Linked DNA regions of Mus musculus: all the other regions are reported to be linked to region 7. The links are microRNA targets in miRTarBase. Many come from high-throughput screens and were not tested one by one. Region 7 holds a microRNA gene; each other region holds the end of a gene's coding sequence.
What was found. Region 7 holds the annotated microRNA mmu-miR-223-3p (UGUCAGUUUGUCAAAUACCCCA, at 1,400-1,421, opposite strand). A microRNA usually pairs through its seed, bases 2 to 8, with sites in the 3' UTR of a target mRNA and lowers its output. Matches are read on the target gene's strand: a 7mer-m8 pairs with bases 2 to 8, a 7mer-A1 pairs with bases 2 to 7 and ends in A, and an 8mer does both.

Region 1: miRTarBase lists Cbx5 as a target of mmu-miR-223-3p. The part of its 3' UTR that is shown has no 7-base or 8-base seed match.
Region 2: the mRNA of Nf1 is a reported target of mmu-miR-223-3p. The part of its 3' UTR that is shown has no 7-base or 8-base seed match.
Region 3: miRTarBase lists Phf21a as a target of mmu-miR-223-3p. The part of its 3' UTR that is shown has no 7-base or 8-base seed match.
Region 4: the mRNA of Adcy1 is a reported target of mmu-miR-223-3p. Seed matches in the 3' UTR shown: 7mer-A1 at 1,660-1,666.
Region 5: miRTarBase lists Arl5a as a target of mmu-miR-223-3p. Seed matches in the 3' UTR shown: 7mer-m8 at 2,722-2,728 and 7mer-A1 at 882-888.
Region 6: miRTarBase lists Glcci1 as a target of mmu-miR-223-3p. Seed matches in the 3' UTR shown: 7mer-A1 at 2,461-2,467.

Annotation. Positions count from the first base shown.
Region 1 is chr15:103,196,903-103,199,902 of GRCm38, forward strand. It overlaps Cbx5 (chromobox 5), which reads right to left. Exons shown (of 5, transcript NM_001076789.2): 5 at 1-2,889. The coding sequence ends at 2,739. Among named protein-coding and RNA genes, the nearest start is that of Smug1, 35 kb to the left of the region's middle.
Region 2 is chr11:79,578,061-79,581,156 of GRCm38, reverse strand. Nf1 (neurofibromin 1) reads right to left here. Exons shown (of 58, transcript NM_010897.2): 58 at 1-2,903. The coding sequence ends at 2,761. Among named protein-coding and RNA genes, the nearest start is that of Rab11fip4, 12 kb to the left of the region's middle.
Region 3 is chr2:92,360,210-92,363,297 of GRCm38, forward strand. Phf21a (PHD finger protein 21A) reads left to right here. Exons shown (of 19, transcript NM_001362829.1): 19 at 1-3,088. The coding sequence ends at 214. Among named protein-coding and RNA genes, the nearest start is that of Large2, 9.3 kb to the right of the region's middle.
Region 4 is chr11:7,169,146-7,172,241 of GRCm38, forward strand. Adcy1 (adenylate cyclase 1) reads left to right here. Exons shown (of 20, transcript NM_009622.2): 20 at 268-3,096. The coding sequence ends at 570. Among named protein-coding and RNA genes, the nearest start is that of Ccdc201, 18 kb to the right of the region's middle.
Region 5 is chr2:52,399,563-52,402,658 of GRCm38, forward strand. It overlaps Arl5a (ADP-ribosylation factor-like 5A), which reads right to left. Exons shown (of 6, transcript NM_182994.2): 6 at 1-2,870. The coding sequence ends at 2,822. Among named protein-coding and RNA genes, the nearest start is that of Gm13522, 23 kb to the left of the region's middle.
Region 6 is chr6:8,593,023-8,596,118 of GRCm38, forward strand. It overlaps Glcci1 (glucocorticoid induced transcript 1), which reads left to right. Exons shown (of 8, transcript NM_133236.3): 8 at 1-3,096. The coding sequence ends at 230. It also overlaps the pseudogene Gm16042. Among named protein-coding and RNA genes, the nearest start is that of Gm35621, 29 kb to the right of the region's middle.
Region 7 is chrX:96,241,209-96,244,304 of GRCm38, reverse strand. Mir223 (microRNA 223) reads right to left here and starts at 1,488; the gene lies at 1,379-1,488. F630028O10Rik (RIKEN cDNA F630028O10 gene) reads right to left here. Exons shown (of 3, transcript NR_030718.1): 3 at 663-3,096.

The DNA.
Region 1 (3,000 bases), not on the chromosome of region 7:
GAGGATTAACACAGGAGAATATAGTCAAGTGTTTAGGAGTATTTCACCTTTGGTTGTGAACTCTTTAGAGGGAAGATAGCTCTAGGAAACACTTCTGTCCAAGGCTGCAATTCTCCAGCAGAAACAAGCTACTTGGCACAACACATGCTGGAGGCACAGATGGGTGTCTGGCTTCTTTACACTGAGTGTTGAAGATAATACTAGAATCCCGGTTCCCTATTTCTATATATAACCAGGAAAAGTACTAAGAAGAAAACAAGGATGTTTTGGTAATAGTTAACAGAAAACCAATACTCCATGAACTTTTAAGAGAAAAAAATTACAAAGAGCATTAAAACCAGCAGGACACTTTTTCCCTTCATTTTTTGCATTACAAGGCATTAACTCTCAGACTGTATCCTCGGTCCTTTTATTTTTTATCTTGAGTCAGGGTCTCACTAAGTTCCCAAACAGGCCTTGAACATACAGTACCCCTGTATCAGTCTGGGACTGTGTACTTTTTTGTCACCAGGCCAGACTTCTTAGGACTAATCTCATTATTATGGTTTATATTATATAGGACTAAATATCATTGTTATGGTTGCCCAAAGGCTAAGATTTTGCTTTAAAAAATATGGTCACTGCAATGTACATGCCCACTACTCCTGACTACTCAGTGGGTGGTCCTTTCCTCTAGTTGCCAGTCAAGATCCTCAGGAGCTCTGGCTACTTCTGTGCTATTTTCATCTGCCCTAATTACTACTAGCCTTGGTTGCCTGAAGGACAGATCTGCTCTCTAACCATCCTTCATTTCATCAAGTTAAGTACAGACATCGGTCACTTATCCAGCATTTGATATTGCCTCTAACATCTTCAGACAACTACGGACTACAGAGAGAAAAAGCTCACCCATGTGAGGTATGGGTTAGGTGCTATTCTCCCACCACATTACCATTCACAAGTTGTTCCTGGCTGACTTAAGTAAGGCAAAGCTTCACTGTCTGTCTACCATGTCACTGCAGTACAAGCTGCCTTCTCAACGGTGCAGTATAATTGTTGGCATAATTTATTCAAGAACACAGAACTCAAGTAGCAGCTGAGCAGGAAAGCAGTGTTAACAAATGCTGTGAATGGGTCTAGGGTTTGCATATTATCTGGCTCATCTGTGGACTGAAGCACTCCATCCATTCCTCTCATTACTATCAACAACCCGGTGGCTAGATGCTCTGGCCCAGACAGCTTTGCTTTAAAAAAATCAAACGCAACAACAAAAGCAGCTCAGTAGCTGACGAAGTCTGGAATTAAGGCTACTTCAGCGTTTATTCTTTTTCCTCAGCGTTGGAGCTGGGACAAGACTGCTCAGCTCCAAACTCTGTTATTTCCTTACTTTTAGTCCTGATTCTCCAGCTTCCTCAACTATACAAGAAGAAAGAAATGAAGAGAAGATGGGCATTTTTCAGGGGACAAAAAGTAGAATAGGAGCAGAAATAATAGCAAAGCAAGAGTAAACCAAAAAGGAAGTAGTTTGTTGTGAGAGAAGGTTGTGTCAAAAAGTTAATATCAAGACCTGTCGGTTTCTGAGGCCATAATCTTCTATGTTTTTAAAATAAGCTACAACTAAAAATCCTCAGACTCAAGTGGAGAGGACAGGAACATTAATCCTCTGAGGACTTGGTGGCAAATCCACAAGCCATGAGGCAGTAAATTAAAGAGCATCACTGCTGCAAGGACGTAAAAGCCAGTGACACTGTGGCTAGTGGCTCCTCTCCAAAAATTCCCAACTTAAAATAATGGCACGGAAGGGAATGGCATGGATCTGCTGATGCCTCTTTGGTACAGGAATGCTTTGGGAGGCCATAAAAATTGGCAGGGTTAGAGGGTGCCCAGCACCTTGGCACAAGCAAGCACCAGGCAATCACTCACACCTACATAAATACAGTCTAAATATGAGGGATAAAGGAAAGAATACACACACACCACGTGATAACTGTATCCAGCCCCATCCTATTATCTTCCTGCACTACAGCTTACAGACTCCACAGTTAATCTTGTCATTTAATAACAAATTGATACCACTTTACAGAAGCAGAATCAGGGATTGAAAGTAACAAGGCCAAGAAAGTGTGAGGGCTAAACAGAGCGCCTTGACAGATTTAAATGTGAAGTTTCAAGCCCTAAGAGAACTGAATTGTTATGGGAGGGTATGTGAGGATAGTCAGGAGCGGCCCAAGACCACACCAGGGACCCTGTATTCTCCTGGCAGAGCTAAATGAGATCGGAAAAGACACAACAGGTAGGTTGCCCTTAATAGTTTTCTAAATAGATGGACAATATCCTTTCTATGCCAGTATGTCAAAACAAAGGCCAGCTGGTCATCAATATAATCTAATAACAATCAAGAAACTGAAGTCATCGTCATAATAAAATCTCCCAAAGCAACCAACCCCAAAGATCATGACTCTAAGGTGATTAAAAAGTTACAGGGGAACAGAAGGAAAAGATCAGGGTGAAAGAGAACACTATGGGAACCACACAGCATGTGAATGACGTAATGCCTGACGTTCACAGAGCTACACTTAGGAATCAGATCATCAGTTATATTACAGGAGAACCAATACCAGCATCTCCCCCGTGGAGCACAGTGATGAGCGCAGTGGTTTATGGATGCGTTTAGGATGGAAAGGGGTGGGAGGAGAGAGAGGAGGCAGGAAAGTAAAGGTATTATATACAAAGAGAAACGACAGAGACTGCCTCCTCCTTTAGCTCTTCGCGCTTTCTTTTTCTTTGTTTTCCGCATCCTCTGGATATGCGTGCCACGTCAGTCTCTCTTCATAAAATGCTATCACAATCTGTGGACACTTCACGTTAGCTTCTTTTGCAAGAACCAGGTCAGCTTCATCTGTGTCTTTCCTGGAAAGAAAGGGTGTAAGACTTAGGAGACATGAAACTGAGGCAATCTGTCAGTGTCACTGTCTGAGGTTAGCTGGTTCGATCTCAAAGTAGAAAGGGTCTTTACAGGGC
Region 2 (3,096 bases), not on the chromosome of region 7:
TATTTACAGGGGAATATACCGCATTAAAAAAAAATTGTGTGGCTGACACTAAGTGAATTTTTGTGGAAGTCCATTGCATAACATTGAATAAGACATGCTTCAATATGCTTGGGGAGTAATGTAGAAAAAAAAAGGGGGGGGGGGAAACTCCTCCAAACCTGGAAAACAAAAGCCAGATCTCCCAGAGGAAACTTGCAACCTTAAACCCCCCAAGGAAGTGGTTGCTGGGGCGAGTCCCCCCACTGGGGCTGTGGCAGTCTGCACTGTCCAGGCTCCGGCCTCAGCACTATGCAGGCAAGAGTAACTGTCCAGCAGAGTGCAGTGTCCCCACAGTGAGGGCATGGGAGCCCAGGGGAGGAGTACCAGCCAAACGCACAAACACAGCCGTTAGTGTTTTTTTGTTTTCTTTTAAGTCAGGGAAACACAAATTGAAAATGAATCACAGAACTCACACCAAATTGTGTAAAATGGGACATTACTCAGACCTTCAGCTGCTCCTGTAATTAGAGTCTCCTTTGGGGGAGGGGCAGCTAGTGATACTTTAAGCTCTGTAGGTTCAGTTGCTTGCAAAGATAGACTTTCCTCAAAAGCTGGAAGTTCTGTCTATTAGATAAAACTGGAATGCTGCCCCAGTTTCCTGGGATGTACTGGTCAGAAGTGGCTCCGTTTGATCTTTCCATAGGAGCTCAAGTGGGGCAGTTTAAGAACTATGGGGAAACCCGCTACAGGAAGAGTGCACATTTATAAGTTGTCCTGTTTTGATGGGGGAAGCAAAACAGTAATGGGCCAGTAATGGAACTCAATGACTTTAAAAAAGCCAAGCAACTAGAGTTACAGCAGCCTCAGTCTGTGCTGCCCACGGTTGCAGGAGCCAGAGCGGGGTGCACCCCAGCAGTACTGCGGTGGGGAGCCGGGCCTGGCAGCTAAGCCACGGGCCTCCTGCGGCTAAACTCAGCTGGCATCTCAGCCTCCCAGCCTTGGTTATCTGCTCTGACAGTTATTCTAAGGCAGCCTTTACAAGAGCTCAGTTTGCTGCATCTGTCTCCAGTAGTCTCCAGTGATTCTATGTTAAAATCACTACTAACACTAAGGGGTTTCCTTTTATTTTGGCAAATGGTTCTTACTTTTCCCAGGGCTGTAAACAAATTAAAAAAATTAAATTGTTATTTCTGAATATCAAAAGCAATTTTATTTACATTAACATATTACATTGTTACTGTATGGATAAGTGTGAAACGTGTTATATTATTAAAGTCAGAATACTTAAATGTACCATTATTTATTGACTTAGCTGTGGAGTTTAACTTACTGAAATCCACTAGTGAGCCAGCACTACAGGACCTGTCCACACCCTACTGGGTTTCTTTTGGTCCCTCCCAAAGCCATTATGTCTTAATACATGAAGGGAACCTGGAAGTAGAGGGATAATACCTTTTAAAAATAAATATAGTTCAATCTTAACTGAGAGCATCCATGTACTACTGTGCTCACTAAAGTCAAACTGTCTTGCATCCTGCGGGTACCATGAAGCAGCTGGGTGTGCATCCCTTGGAAGGGCCTGAGTCCCACTGGTCCAGCCACTCTGCACAGCAGCGATCCTAGAGGTCCTGTGTCCATACCACACAGGCCGGCCAGACTTCACAGTGACTAAATGCAATCCTATCAGATAGAATCCAAATGTTTTGCTAGAGATTCCTGATTTTATTTGGAGGAGAGGAGTAAGATTAAAAGATTTTAAAAATACATCTTATCAAAGAAATTTATGATAATATACAGCATATTCTGTTTCTTGGAAAATTATTTAACAAAATAAAAATATCACCTACCCTATGTCACGTACCATTCCATTTTGCTACGGAGCCAATGGAAAGAGCTATGAAAATTACCTTGTGGAAACGAGTCTCACCACTCTGTCTGCAAATTACCCTGCTTAGAATCACTTAGGAAAGAGGAGAAAGCAAGTGCAAACACAAGTGTAGTTTCTATACTTAGTATAGTCTTGGCTTAAAAAAAAAAAAAAAGAACAGAACACCTTCATATGTAAAAATTAAAAGATAATCAACTGGAAAAAAATTACCCAGGTTGGATGACCAAGTATGTATAAGGCCTCAGAACCAATAGCTTTAATTCAGCAATGTTAAGATGTGTGTGTCACGCTTATTTTCCTGTACTTATTGCTAAGACTCAAATGTTAGTATTTCTTAAGAATTCGTTACAAAATATTAGTTTGCCCCTCCCTCAGTCCCTGGCCTGTGGCTTTATTGAGGCTTGGCCTCTGTGGTTCCTTCAACTACATAAGGTAAAAAAAAAAAAAAAAAAAAGTCCACAGCTAGAAGATTAAATACACTGGGGTTAAAATATGATTTCTCCCCCAAACTTATAAGTGTGTAACTAAGACGACCCCTTCACTCTGCAAGACGGGAACACAGAAGGCCGTCCTCCGCGTACGGCCCGTGGCTTGCGGCAGCGGCAGCACTGCAGGGTTCATCCACACCCACGGTCCACGCTCTCAGTCAGGCCTCCTGACCGCCTGCTGTCTCTGCTGTCCTCAGAACAAGTGCTCAACCAGACACATGCCAAAGTAGAAGGAAAAACATCAAAGAAAAGCAGCATTAAACTTAGGCAATGCTCCAAGAGATGACCGTCTGGCGACACGGCGACCAGATGGGATCATAAGACACGAAGTGCAGCAGTGCAAGGTGAGGGGTCACTAGTGAGAAGCCATGTTAGGTTGGTTTGAAGAGTGAAACAAAGAACGCTTCACACGATCTTCTTAATGCTATTACGTTTGAAACTGCCAGCACTTCTTTGCTTCTGCACTTGGCTTGCGGATCCATGGCGAGTCCGTCCACTGTTACAGTGGCCAGCGGTGGGGGAGAGTTCAACGTTCTCCTTGTCGAGTCCTGGAGAGACACAACAGCTGGTTACTCCTCCTCTCCTGACGCTAGCTCAGGACCCAATCTCATTCATTGCTTGTGGGTGAGATTGGAATGGTGAGCAGTCCCAGCATACTCCACATTCACAGTAAACTGCCAGGACATTTACAAAGGCCTTGCCACATACTTTGCCTCACACCTTGCTAAGCTGAATTTTCTA
Region 3 (3,088 bases), not on the chromosome of region 7:
GGAGATGCGCAGCTCCCTGGACAAGGTGAAGCGGCTCATCCGCCTTGTGCATGGCGTCGACCTCTGCAGACCTGTGGACTCAGAGGCCACGGCGGGGGCCCTCTCCAATGGCCCAGACTGCACTCCCCCTGCCAACGCCGCCTCCACACCCGCCCCTTCCCCCTCCTCGCAGAGCTGCACAGCGAACTGTAACCAGGGGGAAGAGACTAAATAACAGAGCCCTCGAGGCGGACATGCCACAGTCCTGGTGGCGAGGAGACGCTAGAAGAGCAAAGCCGGATTTCTTCTGGAAAGTACAGAGTTCTTTTGGTTCTTTGGTTCCAGAGAGAGAGAAGATGCTTGTGCCAGGTGGCACCCGAGTTTGCCAATTGATTCTTGTTATTCTGTGTGTACATGCAAAGACTGGACCATGTTACATGAAATAGTGCCAGCTGGAGGTTCTTTGCCAGCACCATGCCAAGTGACATAATATATTACTCTCTCTATTATACACCAGTGTGTGCCTGCAGCAGCCTCCACAGCCACGGTGGGTTCGTTTTTGTTTTGTTGGGTGGGGAGCAGGGACGGGCGGAGGGAGGAGAGCAGGTTTCAGATCCTTACTGGGAGCCGTTTGTTTAGGTAGAAAGACAAGTCCAAAGAGTGTGTGGGCTTTCCTGTTCCTAAACTTTTCACTACCATAAAACCAAAAAACGAAAAAAAAAGAAAAAAAGATAAAAAAGGAAATAGAGATTTAACTAACCCAGTGCCCAGAAGAGGGACGGGAAGGGCTGGGAGGGGGCAAGGGTGGGAAAGTATATGACATAAGCAGTATTTAACGTTCCTGGAGGGGCCGAAGTGCAAGAGGAGAGCCCCGCCCCTCCCTAGCTCGCCCCGCCCACAGCCTCCAGCAGCCCCTCCCCTCTGCTTGGTGTAGTGCAGAGCCCGGGTGGTTCTAGGCCTTGTTAAGCAGGGAAGGGAGGGTGCGAGGGGTCCGGAGGGAGAAAGGCGGATCAGAGGTTTACTTGAAAACAAGCTCCATCCCTTTTCTATATTTATAAGAAGAGAAGGTTCTAAGCAGAGCAGCACGACCCAGGTGTGTGTGAATGGAGACAACCCTTTTCTCTTCTTCAAGTTTATTTTGTTTCTGTTCTTGTTTTGTTTAAACAAAGTTTTGTTTTGTTGTTTATTTTTCCTTTCTTTCTTTCTTTCTTTCTTTCTTTCTTTCTTTTTAACAAGAACTAAAATAAGAAATAGAAAAGCTGTTTTTTCAGGCTGACGGTCCTGTTGAGGGTAGCGGAGACCTTGCATGATAGAGTAGGCGTCATAGTGTCAAGTGAGGTCGGTGAGTCTGTGTGCGTCCTGTGTCATCAGTCAGGCACTGTTCTGGTTTGTTTGTTTTGTTTTTTACTTTCTGGTTTTGTTTTCTGGTTTTGTTTTTTGTTTTTTCATGCAAGGGCAAAAAAAAAAATCTTTGTACCTGGGGAAAACAACTTTTTTTTTATTAAAAAGGAAAATAAAAGATATTGAGGTCTTCCTAGTGTTACTTAAATTAAGATCAAGGTAAGAAACATTGTAAAAATTACAAAAGTGCTATTTGTTTCCTAAAAACAGTGATTTTTATTAAAAAGGTGTCAGAACTGGAGAAAACGCTGTGTAGTGACAGTTTTTTAGCACAGAGCCTACTGATCCTGATGACATTTTACTGTGTTGTATCTCTAGACTGGTGTGCCAGTTTCCTGCAGGGCCGGGTCCGCCCCCTCCTCGCTCCTCCCTACTCAGACTTGCTGTCTCCTTGGTACAGGGATCTCATCTCCTGTTTGAAGCCAAAATGGAATGTGCATAGTGTCAGGGCGTTCCCACGGTCTCAGACCTTGCTAGAACGCAGGCTGGTGCCCACCTAGCCCTTCCCTTGGTGCTGCTCTGTCTTACAGCCACCAGCATTACTTATGCCTCGGGGGCCCCTTGGGGGACTGACCAGTGAGGCTCCTCACTGCCTGTATACTTGGCCTCCAGGAGGGTATAGGATGCAGGCTGGCTGCATCAGGGAGGAAATGCTTTGAGAGTCCGTATGTCTCTAAGAGCCCAGGTAGCCTTCAAGTCCATCTTGCGTTAAAGAGAGAAATCTGAAGCTCTAGGGGGTCTCTGCCTGCCCGCCCCAAGGTCAGAGTTCACTCCCATTCCACTCACTCACATGCTTCCTGGGTGTTCCTGGGCTAGAATCACTATGCTTGCCTTGTGTGGCCTAGTGTAGACTTTTCTTCTTGGAAAAATGGGGTTCTGAAAGGCTCTCTACTCATCTCCCCGACAATACCATAGGGAACATAACTCTACGAGACGCATGCTCCCAGTGGAAATCTTTATCTGATCCATGTCCTTGAGTGAAGGGACAGAGACCTAGGCTCTACCCCCAGGTCTGAAAGCAGCATCTCTCTGAGCCCGCCAGGCTCCCAAGTCTAGGAGTAGCAGGAAAGACCCCTTTGCTTCTTCCTTGCCCAGTTAGGTCCATGGAAAATGAGCTGGATCCTGACTGAAACTACAGCAGACAAGAGGTGCTTGTGAGAGTGAGCCAGGCCCATCCACACCAGCCACCCATTCACTTCCCAGCGTTTGAGAAGAGGGCAGGTAGTCTGGCCACACAGGCCTCAGCTTCAGGCCTCTGGCTTCAGGTTGACTGAGGGGAGCAGAGAAAAGCCCTCTTTTCTTATTTAGGAACTAAGGTGCTGTCTAGTTAGCGGGCGTTGGAGATGCCTGGACTAGTTGGATCTTTGGCAGAGGATCAGAGACCAGCTGCAGGCTGATATCCTGTCTCAGCTCCCCCAACCTGCCAACCCCCTGTTGGACTTGTCTGGGCCCATAGGCTGGGGCTTGGCACATACTACCTACCTGTGATGGGAAGAGGTTGACAAGCCATCAACAATCACTACAGGCCTTTGCTCCAGAAGAGCTGCTGGTGGCAGCACGAGACCCGAGCAGCATAGACTCCCATCTTCTGATGTTTGGAAATGAGTTGCTTTGAGTCAACTGGAGTGAAGTAAAAAAATGTAGCCCTGCTCCAAGCCTCCACTGTGGGTCCTGCCCCTTCCGTCTACTTGCCCTTACCTCTGTCAGC
Region 4 (3,096 bases), not on the chromosome of region 7:
ACCTTTAACATTGGGGCTAGTCCCACACAGCCCCTAACTGGGTGCACTAAGCAGTCACAATGGCTCACCCAAGCTGTGCTGGGTCTCTAGCCCCAGCTGTCCCCACTTGCCCATATATGAAGTAGCGTTGTCCAAATATCACCAGGATTAGGCAGCTGTGGTGGAAAGTGAGGTGCAGGGTCAAAGGTCACTGGGGAGCTCCTACCCTCCAGAAGACCCCCTCATTATCCATGACTAAGAGTAATGCTGACTTCTTTCCCCTGGTAGGTGACTGAGGAAGTCCACCGGCTGCTGAAGAGGTGCTCATACCAGTTTGTGTGCAGAGGCAAAGTCAGCGTGAAGGGCAAGGGAGAGATGCTAACGTACTTTCTAGAAGGCAGGACTGATGGAAACAGTTCCCACGGCAGGACCTTTCGCTTGGAACGAAGGATGTGTCCTTATGGGAGAGGCGGAGGCCAGGCCAGACGGCCCCCACTGTGTCCCGCGGCTGGACCCCCAGTCAGACCAGGGCTCCCTCCAGCCCCCACTAGCCAGTACCTGTCATCCACAGCAGCAGGGAAGGAAGCCTAGTGGAGCCCATGGGCCACTGGAGATGCATGCAAGGCAAGAATGCTCCAGGGTGTCACAAGCCACCATGGCTCTAGCCAGGACCAGACAGAGGAGCCAAGTGGCTGGGCTGGAGGAGAAGCATTGTCTGAGTGTGGCCTGAGGCCAATGGGAAATGTGCCCAAGCCACCCCTTGGGGCACACTGAGCTCTGTCTCTTCCTAATGACCTGGTTATGCCTGGCTAGTGTTGCCATAGGTGGCGGGACCTTGGGAGTATCTTCCATGGTCACAGCAAAAGCTATGGAGGTCAAGCTGGCAGAGGAGCCCACCATGACTGAGCCCCAAGTCAACTGGCTTATGGGTGGCTCCAGCCCTGGTAAGCCCTGGCTTATGGGTGGCTCTAGCCCTGGTAGGTCCTGGCTTATGGGTGGCTCCAGCCCTGGTAAGCCCTGGCTTATGGATGGCTCTAGCCCTGGTAGGTCCTGGCTTATGGGTAACTCCAAGCCTGGGTAGCAGTTTCAAGTATGAGTGCCAGACTGGGAAGTTGGCCCCGCTGGGCAGGGCCATGACAGTTGAGCTGTTCATACCATGGGCACAGCAAAGAGCTGGTCAGGTCTTGGTCAGGGCAGTATGGGAAGAATTGAAAAGACACCTCTTACTGCATGAAGAGCGGGGTTGCTGGCTTTCCCCAAGAGTAGGCTCTTGCTAACAGCCAGAGGCAGGTCTTCTGGAATTCTCGGGAGGCCCTACAGCCCCACTTCTGATCTCCTGGCCCGTACATTCTCTTCCAACCCCTCCTGGCTGCTGGCTTCTGACTGCTGCGACAGTGGGCCCTCCTCTTCCTGTGCCATGGCTGCACATTCAGAGAGGAGGGGTGTGTGCTGTCTTCTCTGTGGTGTCTTGGACGCTGTAAGTCTAACAAGAATCAAGCCTTCGTTTATGCTAAGAGCGATTGACCCACTATACCCACGAGTGCTCTCCTTGCTGGAAGACATCCTCTCCTTGGCCTAACCAGCTCTCCTCTTGGTGGTTTCAGAGTCGGCACAGTGTGCATTCCTGAGTCTAGGTGTGGTGTCCCTGCTCCAGGGTGATGGGAAAGAGTGGCCCTGTTGACTGACACCTGGGACCTCCCACCTGTGTGTCCCAGTAACTGCAACTGTGAGGAAATCCCGTTAGGGTACAGGATTCTGGAGGAGTTGGTAGGAAGCAACTGGCTGGAAATAGCGGGATGAAGCCTGGCTTTTGAAGATACTCAGTTTCAATACAGGAAGGGAGGCAGCTTGAAGCAGGGCAGGTGGGCATAAGCCCTGCCTGATCTTGTCTGTGGAGGCCCATTTCCTCACGGCTCCCCAAGAGCTTGCCCCCTTCCAAGGGTCCTATCTTCTTAGAATAGGGCAGAGCAAAGCCTAGTTTTCCCCGGCAGGGTGCATATGTGGTGTTCTGGATTCAGCTCTGGTTCAAGTGTGTGGCTTTGTTGGTGCCTGGGTAATTTTCCAGGTCAGCCAGCGCCCGTTCCTGGGACACTCAGCTGAGTCTAGACTCAGGTTACCTGTGGGTAGGAAGAAAACTTTCAGCAAGGGAGAGCTGGAGGCTGCATGCCAAGTCTCCAAGTCTTTGAGGCTGCACCTCAGGTGCCCTAGGGCCGGGTGGGGCAGCTGTGAAGATTGCACATTCTCTGTGGCCAGGGATGGAGCTTGTGGGTGGTGGTAAGGGTATCATCTAGCACCTTCTGCAGAGGAACTCTGACCCATGCCCACCCTGCTTTGTTGCCTTTCTGATGATATCAGGTAGCACGGCCTGGGCATTGTCGGCTGCCTTTCTGTCAGCCCACTGTGGCTAGAACCCAGAGCCAGGGCCAGACTGACTTCAGCACTCCACTGCAGCCTTCAGGGTTGGAGAGCAGGTAGCTTCATCGTCCTCCGGTGGTCATGTCTGGTTCCTGAGGCGTGGTATTTTGTTGTAACAGTGTTGGGGGAGAATGCTGGCTCCCAGAGAGTTGAGGGCAGCAGGACAGGCTTTTGGTTTCTCCCATGGCCCTGAAGACCATCTTAAGATTGCACTTATAAGAAAGATTCAGGTTGTTGGGGCGCTCTGAGAAGGGGCAGATTCCTCTGAGCCAGAACCTAGGTAGGCATGCGAGCACTCTTTCTTTGTGGCTCCTGCCTCCTGCCCGTCCCCAGGTGTTCCTATCCTTGGGACAAATGGCTTTTCCTCATGGGGCTCTTTTGCACTAGGAATTTCTCACCTCGTCTGTCTGTCTTGCAGTCAGCTCAGCCAGGAGCACCCAGAGCAAGTGAGTATATGGTGACTTTGGCTGAGGGCTGTGGCACTGTCCCTGGCCTTCCAGGCCACTGAGGAGGGTAGAGAACCTCTCACACAGCCTGGAGTTCCTCAGAGTGGCTTCTAGGCACCCAGAACTAGTGCCTCTCTGGCTGATCAGATGAGGGACAGAAGAGTGGTTCTCAAAGATGCCCACATGACAGCCCCAGGTCCTGTGTGTCCTTTGCCACAGTGGAGGACCTTGACAAGGGGACTTAGGGTAGGTAGGC
Region 5 (3,096 bases), not on the chromosome of region 7:
CACTCAGACAAAGGAAAGGAACACCTTAGAGACCTCTTGCCTGTCTTCAAGCTCCTGCACTTACCTGTGACTTCCATGACTACCTACGAGGCACTTCCTCAGGCCAGGGAGCAAGCTCTTCTTCCTTCTGGCTCGGGCAGGCCATGCTTATGGAATTAGGTTTACCACCTGCATTAAAGATGCCAGCCAGCGGTGCTAAAGCACTTTCTTAAGAGAAAATGTCACCAAAAAAACCCAAAAAAAAACAAAAAAAAAACCAAAAACCCATCCCCCACTGCCTAACCCACTGCCTTCTCTGTATTCTTTGTCTACTGTGATGGCCAAGGTGTGCTAGAAATGTAAGGGGATTTTAAAAATAAAACCCTCAGTCTCATGAGAAACATATACTTTACAAATGTTATGACAAAATCAAATATATCCAAATGGTTTATCTTGTGGCCAGTTTTAACCAAGATATCAAGAGAAGATAATCAACTTTCAAAATTAGTATCAAAACAGGACACTTCTATCTATCCACATGTACAGAGGTATAAATCTTTGTTCTTTTCAAAGCTGAGCACAGTGAAGTTAAATGAGATGCTTGTTTACATATTAACACCTGAAACCACAGGACTGGCTGAGTTCTGCCCTCTGACACGTAAGCTGTCAGCATGATATCAGGGCTGCTCCACGGTATTTAGACCTAATTAATACTGTTAATGACAGTTATGAGAGTTTCATATATTAAATATCTTCTTACTCAGCAATAATTTTGTTTTTAATGTACAAGTACACAGGTATGATAATATTTTTGAGGCTTAGTCTAAAAGGGTTAAAAACCAACAAAAGAAAAAATCCCTCATATTTATAAATGTGGTAAAGTTTCATGCTGTCTTATGCCATGTCAGTAACTGACTATATGATGCCAACCTTAACAATGGAGTAAATGCTTTAAACATCCAATGAAGAATAAACTTCAGCCAACACCTTGGCCACACCAGAATTGCTACTATGCGCTGAACTGATGTAACAATGATCCAAGCAACTATGCAGATGATTCAAATTAAAAGCTAAAAAGCTGTAGATCTGGGGTAGGTGGGGGACTTTACAGAGTATTTGTCTTTGACAAAACTACAAAGAGTTGAGTCTTTAAGAGGATTTAGTATATAGGAGAAAAATTCTCATCATGATTTGAAAAAGTATGAGAGCATATGAACAGGCCGCAGCACTGGTTGAGGGCTAGTTCTCTTGGAGCAGGTGGGAAAGCATTAATGCTGAAGGAACACTGGGAGCCTTACAGCACAGATCTCATACACAAAGCCTCACACAGTAACACTCATTACAGCCAATGGCTTTAGCCATTAAGGGTCTTACAAAGATTTTTCAGTTTCCTCAATGCTTGTATGTGGACTTCTATTTCTTACCAAAATCTTTAAGAAATTTTAAAGTCTGATACTAAAACTAGTTAAACCTTTTCTTGACTATCCTAAATCTTGACAGTTTGGGTTAACCTTCAAGTTTTCAGGGCACAAAAGGTTGATATAGTCCACCAGGAATATGTTAAAACAGAGTAATTTTGTCTATGACAGAAATACTTCAATTTTTAACTAAATTTTAAAAAGCAAATATTTTTAACAAACATAAAAAGTGTTTTAGGTCAAATTCTAGTACAAATAATGTAATTTGCCAAATTTTCAATCAAATTTTTTAAGTCATTCAGAAAAAATGATTTCTTAACTATTACACAAGGCATATTATGCAATGGAAGAAGATGTAAGAAAACCTTTGTAGACACTAATCTGTAAATTGGGAAATTATTACTGTTCATTGAAAACGATGCCTTATGTTTATTCTTAAATTCATTTTAACTGTTTGTCATGTAATTTAATACCTAAAAAGGTTGCAGCTAAATTAATTACTACTATTTATAGGATGTTACCTCTTTGGGTAGATATATTTCACACCATGATTTTCAATTAAAAATTACCTGATCATTTTAATCACCATTTATGAATGACCGATTAGTAGCTGAATTGGCATAAGGATCCACAGAAGGAAAGTCTGACCATTGCTTATCGTGTAATTCTACCCAGGCACACCAGGCCAGGAGTCTGGCAGACGCTCTACCCACTTGCGTTATATATTTCCACCTGAATTACTGAGCAACAAAAACAGGTATACAATGCCAGGCTTTCTCCTGTTTCATTTTTAAGGAGCAGCTTAACAATTGTTGGTTGGGGTTGGCTTGTTAGGACAACATAGAGAACAGAGGGTAAACTAAACAATGACACTTAACACCAAAGGTGGTACTCAGTTAGATCAGGAGAACAACAAGTTACCATTAACCTGTGTTATTTGCTTTGCTTTAGAGCACAAATCAAAGCCATTAACCTGAACTTGAGGTATATACACAATACATATTCAACTTGAAGCAAAATACTTTCCATAATATTACATTTTTAAAAACTGGAAACAGTATCTGTGCTGATTTGTATTTGATTCAATGTGAAGGGAACATTCAACTTGGGGCAGGGTGGGAGAGTCACGCTGAAACAAAGTTCTAAAGTTCAAATGTCTTCCTCTCCCTTTGTACTCGCCAAGCTCTGCCATGTCCTGAGAGGATTCATCATGAGAAAATACCAGTCACAGGCTTGGAAGGAATGAGAGCGCAAACGGGTGGTGACATTTCATCTTTGTTTTCAAATAAGTGGTCTTAATTTTCTTCTTATAGAAAACTCTTAAGTCAGTTTATTATAAATATATCTAAACCATTTTTTTGCAGCTTTCAGGAAAAGTCCAGCACTTTCTTTATACAGAGTCTGTGAGGAGGGGTCAGAAGAGATCATCTGATCTTCAGCCGTGACATCATCCATTCAAGTCCTTGGCATAACCTAAGAAGACGACAGAAATCATGTGATTCTATTAGGGACTAAAAAGTCACAGACTATCCACTGTAGGCACAGTCTTCAATAACCCAAAGGATAAAATAGGAGAGAAGGAGAGATCCCTGCAGGCACCGGAGAGCCAAAGGCTTTTGGTTCAGTTTTACCTTAAAGCTTAGATCAGTGCCTAACACACGCAGGGCACTCACATGACTAATGCCCAGAGAAAGCAAGT
Region 6 (3,096 bases), not on the chromosome of region 7:
CCTCTGACCTGATGCTCAAGAACTCCCCTAATTCTGGCCAGAGCTCGGCTCTGGCAACACTGACCGTAGAGCAGCTTTCCTCCCGGGTTTCCTTCACATCTCTCTCTGATGACACCAGCACAGCCGACTCCCTGGAGCCCTCTGCCCAGCAGCCATCTCAGCAGCAGCAGCTCCTACAGGACTTGCAGGTGGAGGAACACGTCTCCACTCAGAACTATGTGATGATCTAAAGCAGAGGGGGAGCTGGTCTCCACCCATGGTCCATGGATTGGGAATGAGATCTCAGACATCTATCTGCATGGAGTGACAAACTTTCCCAACATCACCAACAGCAAAGTACTTAGCATCACAAAATAGCTATTAACACTGATCTTGGCAGGGACCGACTTATATTCAGCAGTTTTTGTGGAAAGCAGTAATGCTTGCAAAAATGTGTGTGTCATTCAGCATTTAATGGAGACTATGCATTTCATAGTATGTCTGACAGATTAGTACTGTGTCCTGTGTTTTGTTCCAACATTTTCAGTATGAATAAGCTCTATTTCAAAAAGTTGCCTGTCTAAGTAGAAAATGTCTTGCTGTGTTTTGTCCTATGGAAAATACTGTACTTCAGGATTATGTTTACAATTGATCCAGGTGTTTGTTTCTAACTTCTATAATACATACAATGCAAAAAAAAAAAAAAAATGGCCACAACAGTTGCACAGTGCCCACCCTATGGCCTAGCTTCAGGTACTTCAGTTGAAGTCTAAACTCAGGTAACTTGGAATGTATGTCATATTGGGATATTAAATATTTCACAGCTACAAAGCTAAAGAGGGAACATCACTCTTTTGCCTTTCCTTGTTTTATGCATTTCCTTTTCTTCATTCCATTCCACACTAGAATAAGAAGTGCATTGATCCCTAGGAGATGCTAATCCTGGGTATAGGGAACATGAGGAGAACCAGCAAATTTGTGGTGTGTGACATCACTTTTGTCATGTGGTTACCAGTAGAACAACTGTTGCATTCACTGTTTCAACATGTGTAAATGTGGCTTTTTTTTTTAAAAAAAAAGAAAAAGAAAAAAGAAAAAACAAGTTGTGTTGCTCAGTGACTGACTGTTACAGTGTTGCAAATAAAGCCTCAGTAGTAGCCTACATAAACATTCCCCATTGCGTGTGACGAAATTTAAATGCAGGGATGGCTGGAGTTCATTTCAAAGCAAGTGGCGTTTTGCAGAAATAAATAAGGATTTTTCTTTATATTGGCCATTGGGGTCATAATTGCTACTATTTTTATCTAAAGACATATTTATGTTTAGCTTCATTTTAGGAAATTGTAATTTTCTGGTTACAAAGTGAAACATTTTGGTTACTGTTTTCCTCAAGTATTTGGTAAATGAGTTGTATTCATGTAGAGAGAATGTGTATGTCTCAGAACCAGTGCAGCATAAGCAAGCAGATTTCTTGTTGACTTTCGAGAGCAATAGCTTAAAGCTGTCTCATTTAAGCCTCAGATAACACTATCATGAATAATTTTGTTAAGACGTAGAACGCATGGAGTGGAGCAGAACCCCGAGTAAATAGCCTTGAACTTGCAGACTTGACAGAAGTTCTCCACAAAGTGCATAGAAGAGAGCCATAGAGATTCCTGTTGCCACCTGGAGAGCCCGACTTCAGACTTTATTTTTTTGCAGCACAGCCTGTGCAAAAGTAAAGGGACGCTTTTGTATTGGTGTTCCGTTGCTCTCAGTTCAGTTAGAGCCTAGAGTTCTCCCATCTCCACCTAACGTGTGTGGCACAATGTTTGGTTTGGTTGGTTTTTAGAGTCGGGAACCGCTGCCTACAGTTACTCTTCAGTTTTCCATAGGTCATACCTGCGGTTTCCTTTGACTCCTCTAAGGAGTCAACGAGTAGAAGGATGAGCTGATAAAGTGATGATACCGTGTTAATTTTTACAAAATGCTGTGCGTGAGTGTGCATACACGTGCACATGGATGTGTGGATGTGTGTATTCTGTGTGCTATTTTGTCACCTTGATGTCTCCTTTCCACCAAAGTTTGCAGTAATACTCTCTTCTGAAGGTACGCAGTCAGTGTTATAGAGACTGTCATGGAGAAGAGGACTCAGTTGACTTTTGCCATTTTCATAGGGGAACCTTTTAAAACAATCTTTTCAGCAGCAGACACCTTTAACCCTAATAATCTCAGGCCTTGATGAAAATACTATATTTTGTAGATTATGGTTAAAGGAAGAAAATTGCTAGTTCCGTAAGATAAATATGAGCTCCATTTAACTTCTTTTTTTTAAGCCTCTAACAATTTTATTGTAAGTAAACAAAATTATGTGTACTTGTTTTATTCGGCACGTGAAAACAGATATTTACAGATATAAAAAACTCGTATTGACAGACGTTTAAATGGACAGAGTCAAGTTGATAGAAGCATGACACAAATTTGGTAAAGCAAATCTCAGATACTGACACTGAAGCAAGTGCTCTCAGATCCATCAAACAGACCACAGCCCTCCCTTGCCAAAACTCCAATCAATTCTATCTTAGTATCTAAGATAGACATCCTGTTTGTTTTTCATAAGTCAATCTTGGCACTTTTATGAACAATTAGTTCCTCTATTCACAAAAGGCATCATAATTATTTTTACTTTCTTAAAGTTTGAGGGTTTTTTGGTTTTTGTTTTAAGTAGCCAAGATCTACAGTTGATCTTCTAAAAGGTCACGATCTTAGTAAGTTCTTTTTAGTTACAGGCAAAGGACCCACTTTACAGTTGGCTTTTAGGATCTTGCCATTCAAACAGTCTTTGTTGTTATGGTAAGCACACAGACACTTTGTACAATATTCAAATTGACAGCTTTCCCGTTTGCAGACTGCTCGCTCTAAATAGTGGTCATATTTTGCAGGGAAATTATAGCAAGCACAGGCTTTGAGGCTTCCCTTGTTCTTCAATGTCTGCCACCTCCACGAACTTGTTGTGCCAGCTGTAGGTAGAACCTTTCTGACCACGCTGACTGGAGGACTTGACCTGAACATCTTTTTTTGGGAGGTGCCCAGGTCGACGATGACTTTGAACAGAAGTTAGTGCAGGTCTGCCCACAA
Region 7 (3,096 bases):
ACCTGTGGATTTTTAGCAGTGTGTGTACTTTGCTGCAGACATCTTCTGAAGATGGTCTTTGTCCCTAAACAATGGTATTTTTCCATGCAGGGTAAGCCAGTAAGTCATCCCTAGATAGAGATGCATCCCTCCGACAATTCTGAGCAAAATTGGGGTAACAATATGGGTCTTGTTATTTAGGTCACTGGTTAGTGGGTGAAAAGTTAAAGAATGAAAGTAGGTATCTCCAGAACCAAGGGAGAGTATGGAATTTCTCCAGAACCAAGGGAGAGTATGGAATTTCTCTAAAGAAGCTTGCCAAAATATATGTTATGAAATGTTAGACTCTGGAGAGAGGGATTGGAGATGCTTCATTTTATAGTTCTATATTAGAAGTTCACCCCAGTGCAATGATAGAATATTAAAGGCTCAGAAAATTCTGTTTAAAAAGACACGTGTAAACCAATAATTCAAAAAATTTTTCCCTCTGAGTCTATTCTTTCTTCTTGCCCTCCTGCCCCAGACCTAAATCTTATTTCTCAGAGGAAAAAAAAATCCATTTTGGTTACCATCTTGTATACACTATAGCATTAGAATACCCACAGTTTGATTTATTTTTTTCGCAAAACCCTGGTTGGTATTTGACCTATATAGCAAAAGGTTATTGACTAGTAAAACATCAATTAATTGGTAAATATTTATTAATAATTAAAATGTTGGACAATGGTATGAGAGACAGCAATCAACTGAATATAATAAGCTCTAGATTCTTACAATATAATAGGGAATTCAAGAACATACCCTGGAAAAATTCACTGACAACTTTAGAAGATGTGTTGGATGGTAGGACATATAATAGCACATACCAGTATGTGGTTAGCCAAGGAGTAAAGAAAAGTATAGGTTAACTTTCAATAGTGCCAAGAGGAATTGGAATTTGGTAGTGTCTGAAAGCCCAATGAAGATAAACAAGAAGGTTCTTTTAAGAATGATAAAAGCAAAGTGGAAAAGAGAAAATGTAGGTAGCTTAAGATGTGCTCCGAAGGCCAGACAGTGGATATTTATTTCCTACTTTCTCATAGAATTCATGATGCTTGTATGAAAATTCTGCTATTCTGGCTGCAAGAAGAGGAAAGTGAAAGAAGACATTAATAATAAATCAAATAATACTCTCATTCCCTGTATCCCTCATGTACCACTATGCAGTCCATGGCATTTTCACAATGTACACAGATGCATACCAGACTTGTAGACCCCAGAGCTGCATCGTTCCTACTCTGATGTTCTCTGAATAAATGTTATAGTTCCCTTAAAGACATAGAATAACACCAGAGAGCTTCATGTTTCATAAGCATTCATATGTAGGCAGCAGGCTATGTGCTCTGTCCTGGACCTGGAGCTGATAGGCATGAGCCACACTTGGGGTATTTGACAAACTGACACTCTACCACACAGAGTGTCCAACTCAGCTTGTCAAATACACGGAGCGTGACACTGCAGATGGCCAGATCAGGAACCTCCACTGGGCAGCAAGAACATGCTGGAAGATGTGCAACTGGAAAGAGAAAAAAATAGGGTGATTATATCTTACCCTAAGTGTGAGACAAATGGCAGACACTAACATGACTGACTAAGACACACCAAAAGAGGGAAGTGAACAAAACACGCTAATGCTCCAAACAAAAACGGGGATCCTGGGTGTTTGTCTGGAGATTCTGGTGGCCCAAGCCTCAATTAACTCTTCTATTCAGCTGAAACAGGAAAAAATTGTCATCATTCTGTCCTCGGGGACAATTTATGTGTTCCTTCCTCCTATCAACTTCTTGTATGCTCTGTTTACCCTGGTTATGTACCTAGATGTTGATTTTTAAAACTGGATTTGAATTCTACCTCTACCATTAACTAGCTGAACACCTTAAATAAATGAGTTTATGTCCCTGAAACCTACTTCTTCCATAGCCACAAAAATGCCCATGAAATCATGGCAAGAATATGTAATAATGCATATAAAGCCATTAATTTAGTGTTTGTTACCTAACAAATACTCAAAAATTGTGGCTATAGCCAGGTATGATAGTACATGTGTGCATACAAGCTTTCATAGACAGAGATAGGAGAACCTCAGATTTAAAGTCAATTTGGGCTATATAATACTACCCTTTCTCAAACAAAAAAGTAAACAATCAAGATCTAGAGATAAAACTCAGTAGCAGAACACTTACCTAACTTGTACAATACTCTGTATTTGATCCCCTGTACATAAATAAAAGTGACTAAAATGTGCTTTAAAATTAAACATATAAGATAGATACTAACAGGGGAAAAGATAGATAATTTATTTAACAGAATTGAAACAGTAATTTCTTGTGGCCTTAGCCGGCTTTGTCTAACTTGGTTGCCTTTTCTCATAAGCAGTAAAGAATTAATGATATTAAAATGCCCTTATAAGTCATCTAGTTTTACCCATTCAAGATTATAAATGAGAAAATGAAGTCTGATGTTTAGGGAAAGACTTCCAAAAGGTCATAAAACAAGTTGTTTACAGTTTGGGAATTATATCATCCATCAGCTCATTGTGTCCCTTGGCTGTCCACCCCACCACTTTTTCTTGTCTGCTTTTTATATTCCCTTGCAAAAGGGAGAGCAACAGCAACAAAGAGCAAAACAGGCAGTGGATTTTGCAGGGAAGTATTAAGATGTTTGAACTCATAGCTACCAGGGCAGCTGCCAGAAGAGCCAAGCCATCTCAATTTATTTGATATTTTGTTTAGCATCATGATCCTGTTATTCAAAATGCTTGATAGTATCAAATTTTGTCCTACCCAGGTTTAAAGTTTTCTTGGGCATCAATTGTCTTCTCTAGAAATAGAGACAGAAATCTTACATCTCAAGGTCTTGAAAAATGTTGGATGAGACTTCTAGAGCTTTTTAGAAGGGAGCTTAAAGAGACCTTATTTCCAACTCTGGAGCTAGTAAAAGCCAAGGAAAGTGATTAAAAGAGAAAGGAGTAATGGGTTATTGGTTTTGGTTTTCTTGACAGCATCTCTGCTTATCATCTGCTGTAAGGAGAGCTAGACACTTTAGAGATATCCATAGCCTCTCAATTGCCCTATCCGA